3 linked regions of the Oryctolagus cuniculus genome follow. The protein of the gene in region 2 purifies or fractionates together with the protein of the main gene of each other region. This does not show direct contact. Links are inferred from orthologs where the notes say so. Each region holds a gene or a part of one and is shown on either strand. Other genes may lie near its edges.

Evidence for each region. Proteins that work in one complex are often made in the same cells at the same time.
Region 1: the proteins of RTN4 (region 2) and ATL3 purify together in Homo sapiens (affinity purification with mass spectrometry; 4 studies listed by BioGRID and IntAct, counting the BioPlex papers as one, with this or other methods). This does not show direct contact. The link is inferred for Oryctolagus cuniculus from reciprocal best matches to the Homo sapiens genes RTN4 and ATL3.
Region 3: the proteins of RTN4 (region 2) and CYB5R3 purify together in Homo sapiens (affinity purification with mass spectrometry; 3 studies listed by BioGRID and IntAct, counting the BioPlex papers as one, with this or other methods). This does not show direct contact. The link is inferred for Oryctolagus cuniculus from reciprocal best matches to the Homo sapiens genes RTN4 and CYB5R3.

What each region holds. Positions count from the first base shown.
Region 1 is NC_091432.1:7,548,819-7,553,154, forward strand, and holds part of ATL3 (atlastin-3), read left to right. Parts: intron 1-182; coding exon 183-239; intron 240-996; coding exon 997-1,068; intron 1,069-2,997; coding exon 2,998-3,429; intron 3,430-4,336. UniProt on the Homo sapiens protein: Atlastin-3 (ATL3) is a membrane-anchored GTPase that mediates the GTP-dependent fusion of endoplasmic reticulum (ER) membranes, maintaining the continuous ER network. It facilitates the formation of three-way junctions where ER tubules intersect.
Region 2 is NC_091433.1:147,544,944-147,549,279, forward strand, and holds part of RTN4 (reticulon-4), read left to right. Parts: intron 1-853; coding exon 854-3,253; intron 3,254-4,315; exon of another isoform or gene 4,316-4,336. UniProt on the Homo sapiens protein: Required to induce the formation and stabilization of endoplasmic reticulum (ER) tubules. They regulate membrane morphogenesis in the ER by promoting tubular ER production.
Region 3 is NC_091442.1:118,392,767-118,396,080, forward strand, and holds the end of CYB5R3 (NADH-cytochrome b5 reductase 3), read right to left. Parts: exon of another isoform or gene 3,180-3,314; intron 3,044-3,179; exon of another isoform or gene 2,869-3,043; intron 1,504-2,868; coding exon 1,331-1,503; 3' UTR 731-1,330; downstream 1-730. UniProt on the Homo sapiens protein: Catalyzes the reduction of two molecules of cytochrome b5 using NADH as the electron donor.

The sequences.
Region 1 (4,336 bases), on a different chromosome or scaffold from region 2:
AACATTTTTAGTGAACTAAAAATGCTAACATGCACTTCCAAGGTGTGTTGTGTTTCCGCTAATTCCTGACTGTCGGTCTAGGTGTTTAGGAAAATGCAGTTGTATGGTCACTGTTTTCAAGATGGGAATAAAATTGAACAGAACCATAGTTTTCATAATCTTTTCAACGTTTGTATTCTAAGGCATATATCAAAATTTACCAAGGGGAAGATCTGCCTCACCCCAAGTCCATGCTGCAGGTAAGAGGCTCTCCGACATCCGGAATGACACCTGTCAGTTACATGCAGTAAGCGGGCGCCGCTGGCCTTGTCTCTGGACGTGGGGTGGCACCAGTTAAGAACAGAATGGCCCCTGCTCGCTGGGCCTGGTGCCCCACCAGACGCACTCTGGGGCACAGCCGTGCTTTCCCAGGCAGGACGCACCCAGCGTGGCAGACAGGCTGTGGCCTGCGTCTGTTGTCTGCTGACGCGCCTGGTCACTCATTCACTGAGCAGTTCTTTAACGTGTTTGACTAGACACTGTCATCTGGTTAACGCAGATAATCTCTGACTTTCTTATGACGAGCATAAGCACACTCATTGCCAAATGTCAGTTCCTTTAGTAGCAAAGCATTTTCACACAGGAGACGAGTGCCTGGGACTCACATTTCAAAGACGAAAATGTTCCTTTTTTTTTTTTTTTTTTTTTTTTTTTTTGATTCACAGCTATTTCTTACATTTAAAACCAGAGACAAGGAAATGCTATTTCCCTAGATTTTTAGAGGTTTATCCTGTGTTAACGAGTCTTACATATTAAAGAACAGATTTTAATTTGGTTGAAAATCTGGCAGAAAAGATATATTTTGTTTCATAAATTGAGCTATGTGAAAGTCTAAAAAGTAGCAGAAGGTTAACGAGAAAGGAAGAATGGAAGTGGGGTGAGAGATTTGTACTTGGGTATTTGTGGAGCATGTTCAAAGAGGAAGGGTTTATAGCTCACGCCTTCCTTTCCTAACAGGCCACTGCTGAAGCCAACAACTTAGCGGCGGCAGCCGCTGCCAAGGACGTGTATTACAACAACATGGAAGAGGTATGTGGGCAGGTGCCTGATCCTGAGGTGTCGCGATACCTGACCATGCGGCTGTCTTCCGAGGCCCAAACTTGATCTGACTTGACACTGCAGGGGGGCTGGTATTGTGGCACAGCGGGTTAAACCATCACTTGTGATGCCTGTTCGAGTCCAAGCTGCTTGGCTTCCAATCCAGCTGCTTGCTAATGCACCCAGGAAAGCAGCGGAAGATGCCCCAAGTACTTGGGCGCCTGCACCCACATGGGAGACCTGGATGGAGTTCTGGGTTCCTGGCTTTGGCCTTGCCCCAGCCCTGGCTCTTGCATTCATCTGGGGGAGTGAACCAGCAGATGAAAGAGCACTCTCTCTCTCTCTCTGTCTTTTCTCTCTCTCTAACTCTGCCTGTCAAATAAATAAATAAATAAGTATATATTTTTATTTGACAGGTAGAGTTGCAGACAGAGGGAGAGACAGAGAGAAAGGTCTTCCTTCTGTTGGTTCACCCCCCAAATGGCCGCTATAGCCGGTGTGTTGCACTGATCCGAAGCCAGGAGCCAGGTGCTTCCTCCTGGTCTCCCATACAGGTGCGGGGGCCCAAGCACTTGGGCCATCCTCCACTGCCTTTCCAGGCCACAGCAGAGAGCTGGGCTGGAAGAGGAGCAACCGACACTAGAACCCGGGGCCCATATGGGATGCCGGCGCTGCAGGCGGAGGATTAACCAAGTGAGCCACGGCGCTAAAAAAATAATTTTTTAAAAAAGTTATGAGGCAGCAAAGCTGTATTCAGGCCATTGTGATAACCAGGTCCTTCTGATCACCATTTCGTTTCTTTTTTTTAAAAATATATGTGTTTTACTTATTCTTTTTTATTTAAGGTATACAGGTTACATGTATTTGGTGTACACCAGTTTAGGAGTGTGGTGATGCTTCCCACGCTCCCACCCTTCCTCCTCCTTCCTCTCCTCATCCTCCTCTTTAATTTTTACAGTGATCTACTTTGAGTTTATTTTACACTCATGAGATTAACCCTACACTAAGTAAAGAGTTCAAGAAATAATAATAATTAAAAAAACACTGTTCAGGGCTGTAAACAGTCATCGAAGCTCAAAACGTCGATTTCACTCTTCTGATGGTCATTTCTTTCCGTTTCCGGGCCACGCTGAGCTCCTCACTCTGCTTACCCAAGTGCGCTCTGCAGAGGAGTGAGACCAGACTTCACTGGTCTCCGTCACCTTCTGAGAGTTAACTGACGCTTGCCGCAGCAGCTCAGTTGTGAGTGTGTCACCCACCTTTCCTAGCAGAGTGCTGGCTGGAGTGCTGGCTGCTCTGCTCCCATCCAGCTTCCTGCTGCTGTGCCCCTGGGAGGCAGCAGGTGGATGGCCCGAGTGCCTGGGTCCCTGCCACCCACATGGGAGACCTGGTTGGACAGTTCTGGGCTCCTGGCTTCAGTCTGGCCCAGCCCTGTTTGTCGTGAGCATTTGGGAGTGAACCAGAGAAGAAAGATCTCTCTTTGTCTTTCAAACAAAATGAAAATAAACAGTGAAAAAGTTTTTTTTTTTTTTTTTTTTTAAGATGTATTCATTTATTTGAAAGAGTTACAGAGAGGCAGAGGCAGAGAGAGGAGCTGGGCCGATCCGAAGCCAGGAACCAGGAGCCTCTTCTAGGTCTCCCACGTGGATGCAGGGGCCCAAGTACGTGGGCCACCTTCTACTGCTTTCCCAGGCCACAGCAGAGAGCTGGATGGGAAGTGGAGCAGCTGGGACTTGAACTGGTGCCTAATGGGATGCCGGCACTGCAGGCAGCAGCTTTACCTGCTACGCCACAGTGCCGGCCCCGAAGTGAACACAGTGATAAGAGATTAACGTCTGATACTTAAAGCCTTGTAACCTTTGAGAGTCTTCACCTGTTTTTGAAGGGACCTTCGCCATGCCGTGTCTCTGTTGCCTGCAGGTTTGTGGGGGCGAGAAGCCTTACCTGTCCCCTGACATTCTAGAGGAGAAGCACAGTGAGTTCAGACAGCTCGCTCTGGACCACTTCAGGAAGACCAAGAAGATGGGCGGGAAGGACTTCAGCCTGCGCTACCAGCAGGAGCTGGAGGAGGAGATCGGGGAGCTGTACGGCAGCTTCTGCAGGCACAACAGCAGCAAGAACGTCTTCAGCACCTTCCGCACGCCCGCCGTGCTCTTCGCGGGCATCGTGGCCCTCTACATCGCCTCGGGCCTCACCGGCTTCGTGGGCCTCGAGGTCGTGGCCCAGCTGTTCAACTGCATGGTCGGGCTGCTGCTGATAGCGCTGCTCACCTGGGGCTACATCCGGTACTCCGGCCAGTACCGCGAGCTGGGCGGAGCTATCGATGTGGGTGCGGCCTATGTGTTGGAGCAGGTGAGTGGTGTGGGGTGATGGTGGGCGGCCGGGTCAGCTTCTGTCGTGAAACATCTCGGAGTTTGGTAGCAAAGAGGGCATGAGAAACCTCCCTGGGCCGTTTTTAAACTTCCTTGGCTTTAGTCTGTTATCCTCTTTGGGATAGGAGTAGTTATTCCTGATGTTTTGTTTCCATGACTTAAAGTGGGCCTTTAGTATATAAAAAGTTTCAAATTAGAGTAGGGTGTCCCTCACAGGAAACCTATGGGTGCTTTTTTTTTTTTTTTAAAGATTTATGTATTTATTTGAAAGTCACAGTTACACAGAGAGAAAAGGACAGGCAGAGAGAGAGAGGCCTTCCATCCGCTGGTTCACTCCTCAGATGGCCACTATGGCCAGAGCTGGGCCAGTCTGAAGCCAGGAGCCAGGAGCTTCTTCCAGGTCTCCCACGCAGGTTCAGGGGCCCAAGCACTTGGACCATCTTCCACTGCTTTCCCAGGCCACAGCAGAGAGCTGGATCGGAAGTGGAGCAGCCAGGACTTGAACCGGCACCCAAATGGGATGCAGGCACTGCAGGCAGCGGCTTTACCTGCCACGCTACAGTGCTGGCCCTGTGCGTGCTCTTTAGACACAATTCCTGTGTGATTCGGCCTTCTCCTCTCCATGATCTTGCTTTGCTGAAAATCAAGAGTCCTGAAAAAAATATGAACTCAACAAGAGATGACATCTCCTTCATTTAAAATCTTCCAACAAGTCAGCGGCTCTTTGCAGAGGTCGTCTCCAGCTTTACAGATCTTTGAGACTAGCTCGTGTCTTTCTGAGTGACAGGAGCAGATCGGGTAGGCCCGTAGCGTGGTGAGCCAAAGGAGCTGGCCGCCCCGTCACAGGGCAGAGGGTCCTGGGGTTCCGGGTGGGCAGCTCCCGCAGC
Region 2 (4,336 bases):
GCCTGTTCAAAAAAAAAGTTTATTTTGGTGCAAAAATGTTTCAATCTATAAATATGAAGGGGTCTTCATAAAGCTGAAAAATGTGTATTAGGAAATACTTACGTGTGGATTTTTTTTTTTTGAGATATTAAATGTATTTGAAAGGCAGAATAAAAGGGAGGGAGGGAGGAAGGGAAGGAGACAAAGAGGGAAAGAGAGAGATACCTTCCATCTGCCGGAGCCTGGAACATCATTCTGGTCTCCCATGTAGGTGGCTGCCTTCCCAGCATATTAGCAAGGAGCTAGATCAGAAGCAGAGCAGCCAGGAATTAGCTGGCGCCCATATAGAAAGCCTGCAAGGCAAACAGCAGCCCAAACCCTTGCCACAATGCCGGCCTCTGTGTATGGATTTCAACTTTGTTTTTGCACCAAAATAAACTTTTGTATCAATTCCATTTTCTGTGAACTTCGAAGTATGTATCAAGTATATTGTAGAAAGATCATATCAAGCTATATAATGTATGCTTCACCTCAGATACCTACCATTTAGTTGTGATGAGAGTATTTAAAATTCTCTTTGAGCTATTTGGAAATATACAATATATTATTCTTAACCACAATGCTGAGTAGTAGCCATGCACCTATTTTACTGACAGATAGCTTAATATTTTCAGAAGTGATTCAAGTCTACTTGTTATTTATTAATTAAATTCTATTTTAATTAATTAAGTTAATTAATTAAAATGCTATTAACATTTCATTTTAGTTAACAGTTAAGTCTTTACTAACACTATTTGATTGAATCTGTCAGAAAGCTTGCATAACTCTGAGAACACTGGCATTTTCTAACTTTCCTTTCTGTCTATGGCCACAGAACAAATTATGGATTTGAAGGAGAAGCCAGGTAACACTGTTTCAGCTGGTCAAGAGGATTTCCCATCTGTCCTACTTGAAACTGCTGCTTCTCTTCCTTCTCTATCTCCTCTCTCAGCTGCTTCTTTTAAAGAACATGAATACCTTGGTAATGTACCAGCAGTATTATCCACGGAAGGAACACTTCAAGAAACTTTAAATGAAGCTTCTAAACAGCTCTCAGAGAAGGCAAAAAATCCATTTGTAGATAGAGATTTAACAGAGTTTTCAGAACTAGAGTATTCAGAAATGGGATCAAAATTTAGTGGCTCTCCAAAAGCAGAATCTGCCATAATGGTAGCAAACCCTAGGGAAGAAGTAATTGCAAAGAATAAAGATGAAGAAGAGGACTTAGTTAGTAATAACATCCTTCGTAATCAGCAAGACTTACCTGTGGCCCTTACTGAGCTGGTGAAAGAAGAGGACAAAGTTATGTTTCCAGAAAAAACAATGGACAGTTTTAATGAAAAGGAAGCTGCAGTAGAAGCTCCTATAAGGGAAGAGTATGCAGACTTCAAACCATTTGAACGAGTATGGGAAGTGAAAGATGCTTATAAGGAAGATAGTGGTATGCCGGCTGCAGGGGGTAGTATAGAGAGCAAATTGGAAAGTAAAGCGGATGAGAAATATTTTGCAGATAGCCTGGAGCAAACGAATCATGAAAAAGAGAGTGAAAGCAGTAATGATGATACTTCTTTTCCCAGTACACCAGAAGCTGTAAAAGACGGTTCAGGAGCATATATCACATGTGCTCCCTTTAACCCAGCAGCAACTGAGAGCATTGCAACAAACATTTTTCCTTTGCTGGAAGACCATACTTCAGAAAATAAGACAGATGAAAAAAAAATAGAAGAAAAGAAAGCTCAGATTGTAACAGAGAAGAATATTAGCACCAAATCCTCAAACCCTTTCCTTGCAGCAACACAGGATTCTCAGACTGAGTATGTCACAACAGAAAATTTATCAAAGGTGACTGGGGAAGCAGTGGCAAACATGCCTGAGGGTCTGACACCAGATTTAGTACAGGAAGCATGTGGAAGTGAATTGAACGAGGCTGCAGGGACAAAGATTGCCTATGAAACAAAAATGGACTTGGTGCAAACCTCAGAAGCTATGCAGGAATCACTCTACCCTGTAACACAGCTTTGCCCATCATTTGAAGAATCTGAAGCTACTCCATCACCAGTTTTGCCTGACATTGTTATGGAAGCACCATTAAATACTGTAGTTCCTAGTGCTGGTGCTTCTGCAGGGCAGCCCAGCTCATCACCGTTAGAAGCTCCTCCTTCAGCTAATTATGAAAGTGTAAAGCTTGATTCTGAAAGTCCACCCCCATATGAAGAGGCAATGAACGTAAAAAAAATATCAGGAATAAAAGAAGAAATTAAAGAGCCTGAAACTACTGATGCAGTTGTTCAAGAAACAGAAGCTCCTTATATATCCATTGCATGTGATTTAATTAAAGAAACAAAGCTGTCTAGTGAACCAAGCCCAGATTTCGCTAATTATTCAGAAATAGCAAAAGTTGAACAGCCAGTGCCTGATCGTTCTGAGTTAGTTGAGGATTCCTCACCTGATTCTGAGCCAGTTGACTTATTTAGTGATGATTCAATACCTGAAGTTCCACAAAGACAAGATGAAGCTGTGATACTTTTGAAAGAAAATCTCACTGAAACTTCATATGAGTCAGCGTTAGAATATGAAAATAAAGAAAAACTCAGTACTTTACTACCTGAGGGAGGAAAGCCGTATTTGGAATCTTTTCAGTCCAATTTAAGCACCACAAGAGATAGCCCATCACCTGATGAAGTTTTGACATTGACCAAAAAGGAGAAAATTCCTTTGCAAATGGAGGATCTCAAAACTGCAGTTTATGCAAAGGAGGACTTACTTGTTTCTAAGGAAGCCACAATAAGAGAAAGTGAAACATTTTCAGATTCATCTCCAATTGAGATTATAGATGAGTTCCCTGCATTTGTTAGTTCTAAAACTGATTCTTCTCCTAAATCAGCCAGGGAGTACACTGACTTGGAAGTATCCCACAGAAGTGAAATTCCTAATGTCCAGGATGGAACTGGGTCATTGCCCTGCTCAGAATTGCCCCGTGACCTTTCTTTCAAGGAGGTACAACCAAAAGATGAAGATAAAATCTCAGATGAATTCTCCAAAAATAGGTCTGATGTAGCCAAGGCACCCTTACTTCCTCCAGATGTTTCTGCTTTGGACACTCAAACAGAAATAGGCAGCATAGTTAAACCCAAAGTTCTTGTGAAAGAAGCTGAGAAAAAACTTCCTTCTGACACAGTGAAAGAGGACAGATCACCATCTGCTATATTTTCAGCAGAGCTGAGTAAAACTTCAGGTAATTAATCTATACACTGATTTGTGATTTTGTACTTTTATAAAATTTTAACAACAGAACATTCTACACTTTGTGCCCTATAATACTTTTTTAGTGTCTAATATATCACATTGATAATTCTTTATCACTGTCTCAGTTGAAGGTTTTAGTGCTTTATTTCCCCCTCTTACACTAATCACCCTTGCTGTTAACTTTTTCACACGGTTATTCATTAATCACTTTTACATTGCATCATGGCACTAGAAAACACATTTTAAAATTAGAATTGGTTTCAGTATCTCTTCTTCTGGGTGTGGGGACTTAATTGTTTTTCAATAGCGTGAAGAGCCAGAGATATTAAACCATTATTTTCAGATAGATTTTTGTTATACTAGAAATTATTATTTTTGAGGAAAACATGGCTGAAGCAAGCTTTTTTTTTTTTTTTTTTTTTTAAGATTCATTAATTTACTTGAAAGGCAGAGTTACAGAGAGAAAGAGAGAGAGAGAGACTCTCCATCTGCTGATTCAATCCCCAGTTGGCCACAACAACCAGAGATGCGCCAATCCAGAGTCAGGAGCCAGTAGCTTCTTTGAGGTCTCCCAAGTGTGTGCAGAGGCCCAAGCACTTGGGCCATCTTCCACTGCTTTCCCAGGCCATAGCAGAGAGCTGGTTCGGAAGTGGAGCAGCTGGAACTTGAACTTGCACCCATATGGCATGGTGGCACTGCAGGCGGTGGCTTTGCCCACCATGCCACTGTGCCAGCCCCTGTAGCAAGTTTTTAATATTTCAGTATAGTACAGTACTATTCCACTAACTGATATAAGGTCAGGCATTTTGAGTGTAGATATTTTTTAGAAAAGCATAAATCGAAGTGTTTGGGTATGAATTCTTCCAAAAAGTTCTAGTTCTCATCCTCATTTTTTTCTCTTGACTCTATATTTCTCATATAACTAACTTGCTTAAAGTGATATGCACATATATTTTTTATTTTATTTTTGCAATTAAGTTGTAATTTGTTTTCTGTAAAATCTAATATGTTGGGTGTATTTGCTGGATATACTTACGTACTGAAGAAAGAGTAGCATTAGCAGCAGAGAAGT
Region 3 (3,314 bases), on a different chromosome or scaffold from region 2:
GCCGCCACGGCCGAGGCCTGCGATCCCAGGCTGAGTGCTGGGCACTGAGGAGCCCTGCGCTGCCCTGGAACGTGGCGATCCCTCCCCCGTTGCAGGCACCAGGCCCGCCTTCCTAGGAACTCCCGTGCCCCTGGGGGCCCTGGGCCTCCCCCATAGCCATCTGCACTGGCTTCTTGGAGCTGCTCCTAGCGTATTCCACAAGCCTGTTCCAACCCCAAGGCCTGGGCACTCCCGTTTGCCACCCACCCCAGCAAGGCCAGAGCCTGCCCGCCATGTCCCCACCCTGGGATTTCCTGCTGCCCAGTTCCAGGAGCAGACCTGATGCTCACCCCTCACCCGATTCACCACCTTACAGACGAGGACCCGCTGGAGTCCCGGGGCACGGGTGTGTGTGGGGGGGTGGGGGTGGGGCGATGGCTGCACCTGCTGTGCCCGCAGCCCCCACAGCCCCGCCTCCAGCACGCGGGGCGCTCCCTCCCCGGGGAGCAGCCCAGGGCCTTGGTGTGTCCTGTGTGGAGGAGGGAAGAACCCATCCTTGGGGGCCACAGTCTGTGTGGGAGTGGGGCAGGGGTCGCAGCGGAACACCGGGGCTTTCCGACTCCAGCGCGGATCCTGGGGTGGGGGTGAGGACGGCCACAGCCACTCAAAGCGCGGTCAGAAACAGCCAGGGCCGGGGTCTCCAACAAGCCCGGCCCGCCCCACCCCGGCCCAGCACCCAGAGAGTCTCACGTTTCGTTTCTGCTTGTTTATAAATGACTGGAAAAGGCGACGCGAGAGGCTAACAGCTGTTGTCTAAAGGCGAGGCCGAGGCGTGGGTCCCTGGGCCCAGAGGCACTGCTCGGACTGGCCCAGGCTGGGCGGGCGCCGGAGGCCAGCGACACAGGGGCTGCGGTGCTGCCGCCAAGGTGGCGGGGCCCCCAACCCACGCGGGGCCGCCGCGCGCTCCCCTCCCCCGCCCAGCACCCGCCTGTCACCCCAGCCTCCTCCCTAGTGTAGGGGCAGGTGCTGCGGCGGGCAGGGGCGGCGGGCCAGGGTCCAGGGCAGCCCGGGCCCGCGTGTGCTGCGTCTGCAGGTGTGCGCGGGCCGGCGGGGCTCGGTGCTGCGTGGCGAGGGGTCACGTGCGGGTGTGTCCTCGCTGACAACCAGTGGGGGCCGGGAGGACTCCTGGAGTGGCCGGCGGCGGCCCAGCCCACACGCGGCGCCCCTCCCGGGGGCTGCCTCGGCTGCTGACCACCGGGACACGGGCAGACCAGGCTGAACCCGAGGCCCAGCGAGAGGCGCGGCCGAGGGGGACGGCAGGGCGGGCGGCGCGTGGTGGGCGCGCGCGGCCTCAGAAGGCGAAGCAGCGCTCCTTGGCGTGGCCCACGCGCTCCAGGTTGGGCAGGCAGGCGAACTGGATCATGGGCGGGGGCCCGCACATCAGCACCAGCGGCTCGTCCTCGGGGGGCGGCAGGTGGTCCCGGATCATCTCCTGGTTCACGAAGCCCTGGCTGTAGTCCCAGGCTGCGGGGAGAGATGGGGTGAGGCACTGCCCACGACCCTGCACGGAGGCCACGCACACGCCCTTCCCCTGCCCAGCCCGCCTCTGTGTGGCCTCTCACGTGGCCCTCGGGCAGTGGTTCCTGAGCCCATTTAACAGATGTGCACACCGAGGCCAAGACTCCACCATCCGGGCCCAGCCCCGGCTGGCCGGGGCGACGTCATGTCCCGCTGCGGGCCCACTGACTCCGCCCACACCCAGTGCGGGCCCACTGACTCCGCCCACACCCAGTGCGGGGGGGGGGCACTGACTCCGCCCACACCCAGTGCGGGCCCACTGACTCCGCCCACACCCAGTGGGGGGGTGGGGGGCACTGACTCCGCCCACACCCAGTGGTGGGGGTTGGGGGGCACTCACTCCGCCCACACCCAGTGCGGGGGGGCACTGACTCCGCCCACACCCAGTGCGGGCCCACTGACTCCGCCCACACCCAGTGGTGGGGTTGGGGGGGCACTGACTCCGCCCACACCCAGTGCGGGGGGGCCACTGACTCCGCCCACACCCAGTGCGGGCCCACTGACTCCGCCCACACCCAGTGGGGGGTGGGGGCACTGACTCCGCCCACACCCAGTGGTGGGGGTTGGGGGGCACTGACTCCGCCCACACCCAGTGCGGGGGGGGCACTGACTCCGCCCACACCCAGGGCGGGCCCACTGACTCCGCCCACACCCAGTGCGGGGGGGGCACTGACTCCGCCCACACCCAGTGCGGGGGGGCACTGACTCCGCCCACACCCAGTGGTGGGGGTTGGGGGGCACTGACTCCACCCACACCCAGGGCGCGCAGCGTCCGCTGCAGGGTATACGCGAGATGAACAGTGAACTGGAGACGCGTGCCCCAGCACTCAGTCCGCGAGCCCGGAAAGGCAGGGCCGGGACCCAGGCCAGGTCCAGGAGCCCCGCCGGACCCGCCTGCCTCCCTCCCGCACACACAGTGCCGCTGTCTCCAGGCTGGCCACCTTCTACCTCCTCAGGCTACAGTGCCCCAAGGCTGGAAGGGCTGCGGGTTCACCAGGGACCCTCAGGGACCGGCCGGCTAGGAGACCCCCAGCCAGCGAGCGGTGGGTCAGCAGGACTGGAACGCAGGAGAACGGGGGCCCGGCGGCAGCAGAGCGAGGGAGGGCCGGCGGAGACCCACCCGGCCCCCCTGCACCTCGGTTCCGCGTGTGCACCTGCAGCCCGAGCCCCGCCCACCCTAGGGCACGGAGGCCCCCGCTGTCAAGGGCGCCTCGCGACCACCGGCTGAGCCGCGGGACGTAGGCTTAGGTTTGCCAGCCCTCCCGGAGGTTTCCCGTGCTCGGGGTCTGACACGTGCTGGTGCCTCCCCAGGGACCCCTGCGCCCGGGAACACGCAGGCCAGCCGCACGCCACCACCTCCATGCCTCCTGGCCAGGGAGCCCCCGGCCGCCTCCTGACCCCACGAGGACCCCAGCCCTGCCAGCGGGAGATGACGGCAGAGCAGACCCTGCGGCACGGCCTCGGCCGGGAGCCGCGCTGGTCAGAGGCAGCAGGGGTTCTGGCGGGGGGTGGGGGGGCAGGGAGCAGGGCTACCGAGGGGCGGGGCCGGGGGCGGGGCTGGGGCTCCCTCCAGTCCTGAACGCCAGGCTCTCCTGACCCCTCTCTTCTCTGTTACCTGAAAGAGCCCTCGGCACCGACAGACGCTGCCACGGAGCCCCAGGTGCGGAGGGCGCTGGCCCAGGCCACGGCACCTTGCCTGATGGATGACACACACACCCCACCACGCCGACCCTACGAGGCCGCAGCTGGCCTCGGGA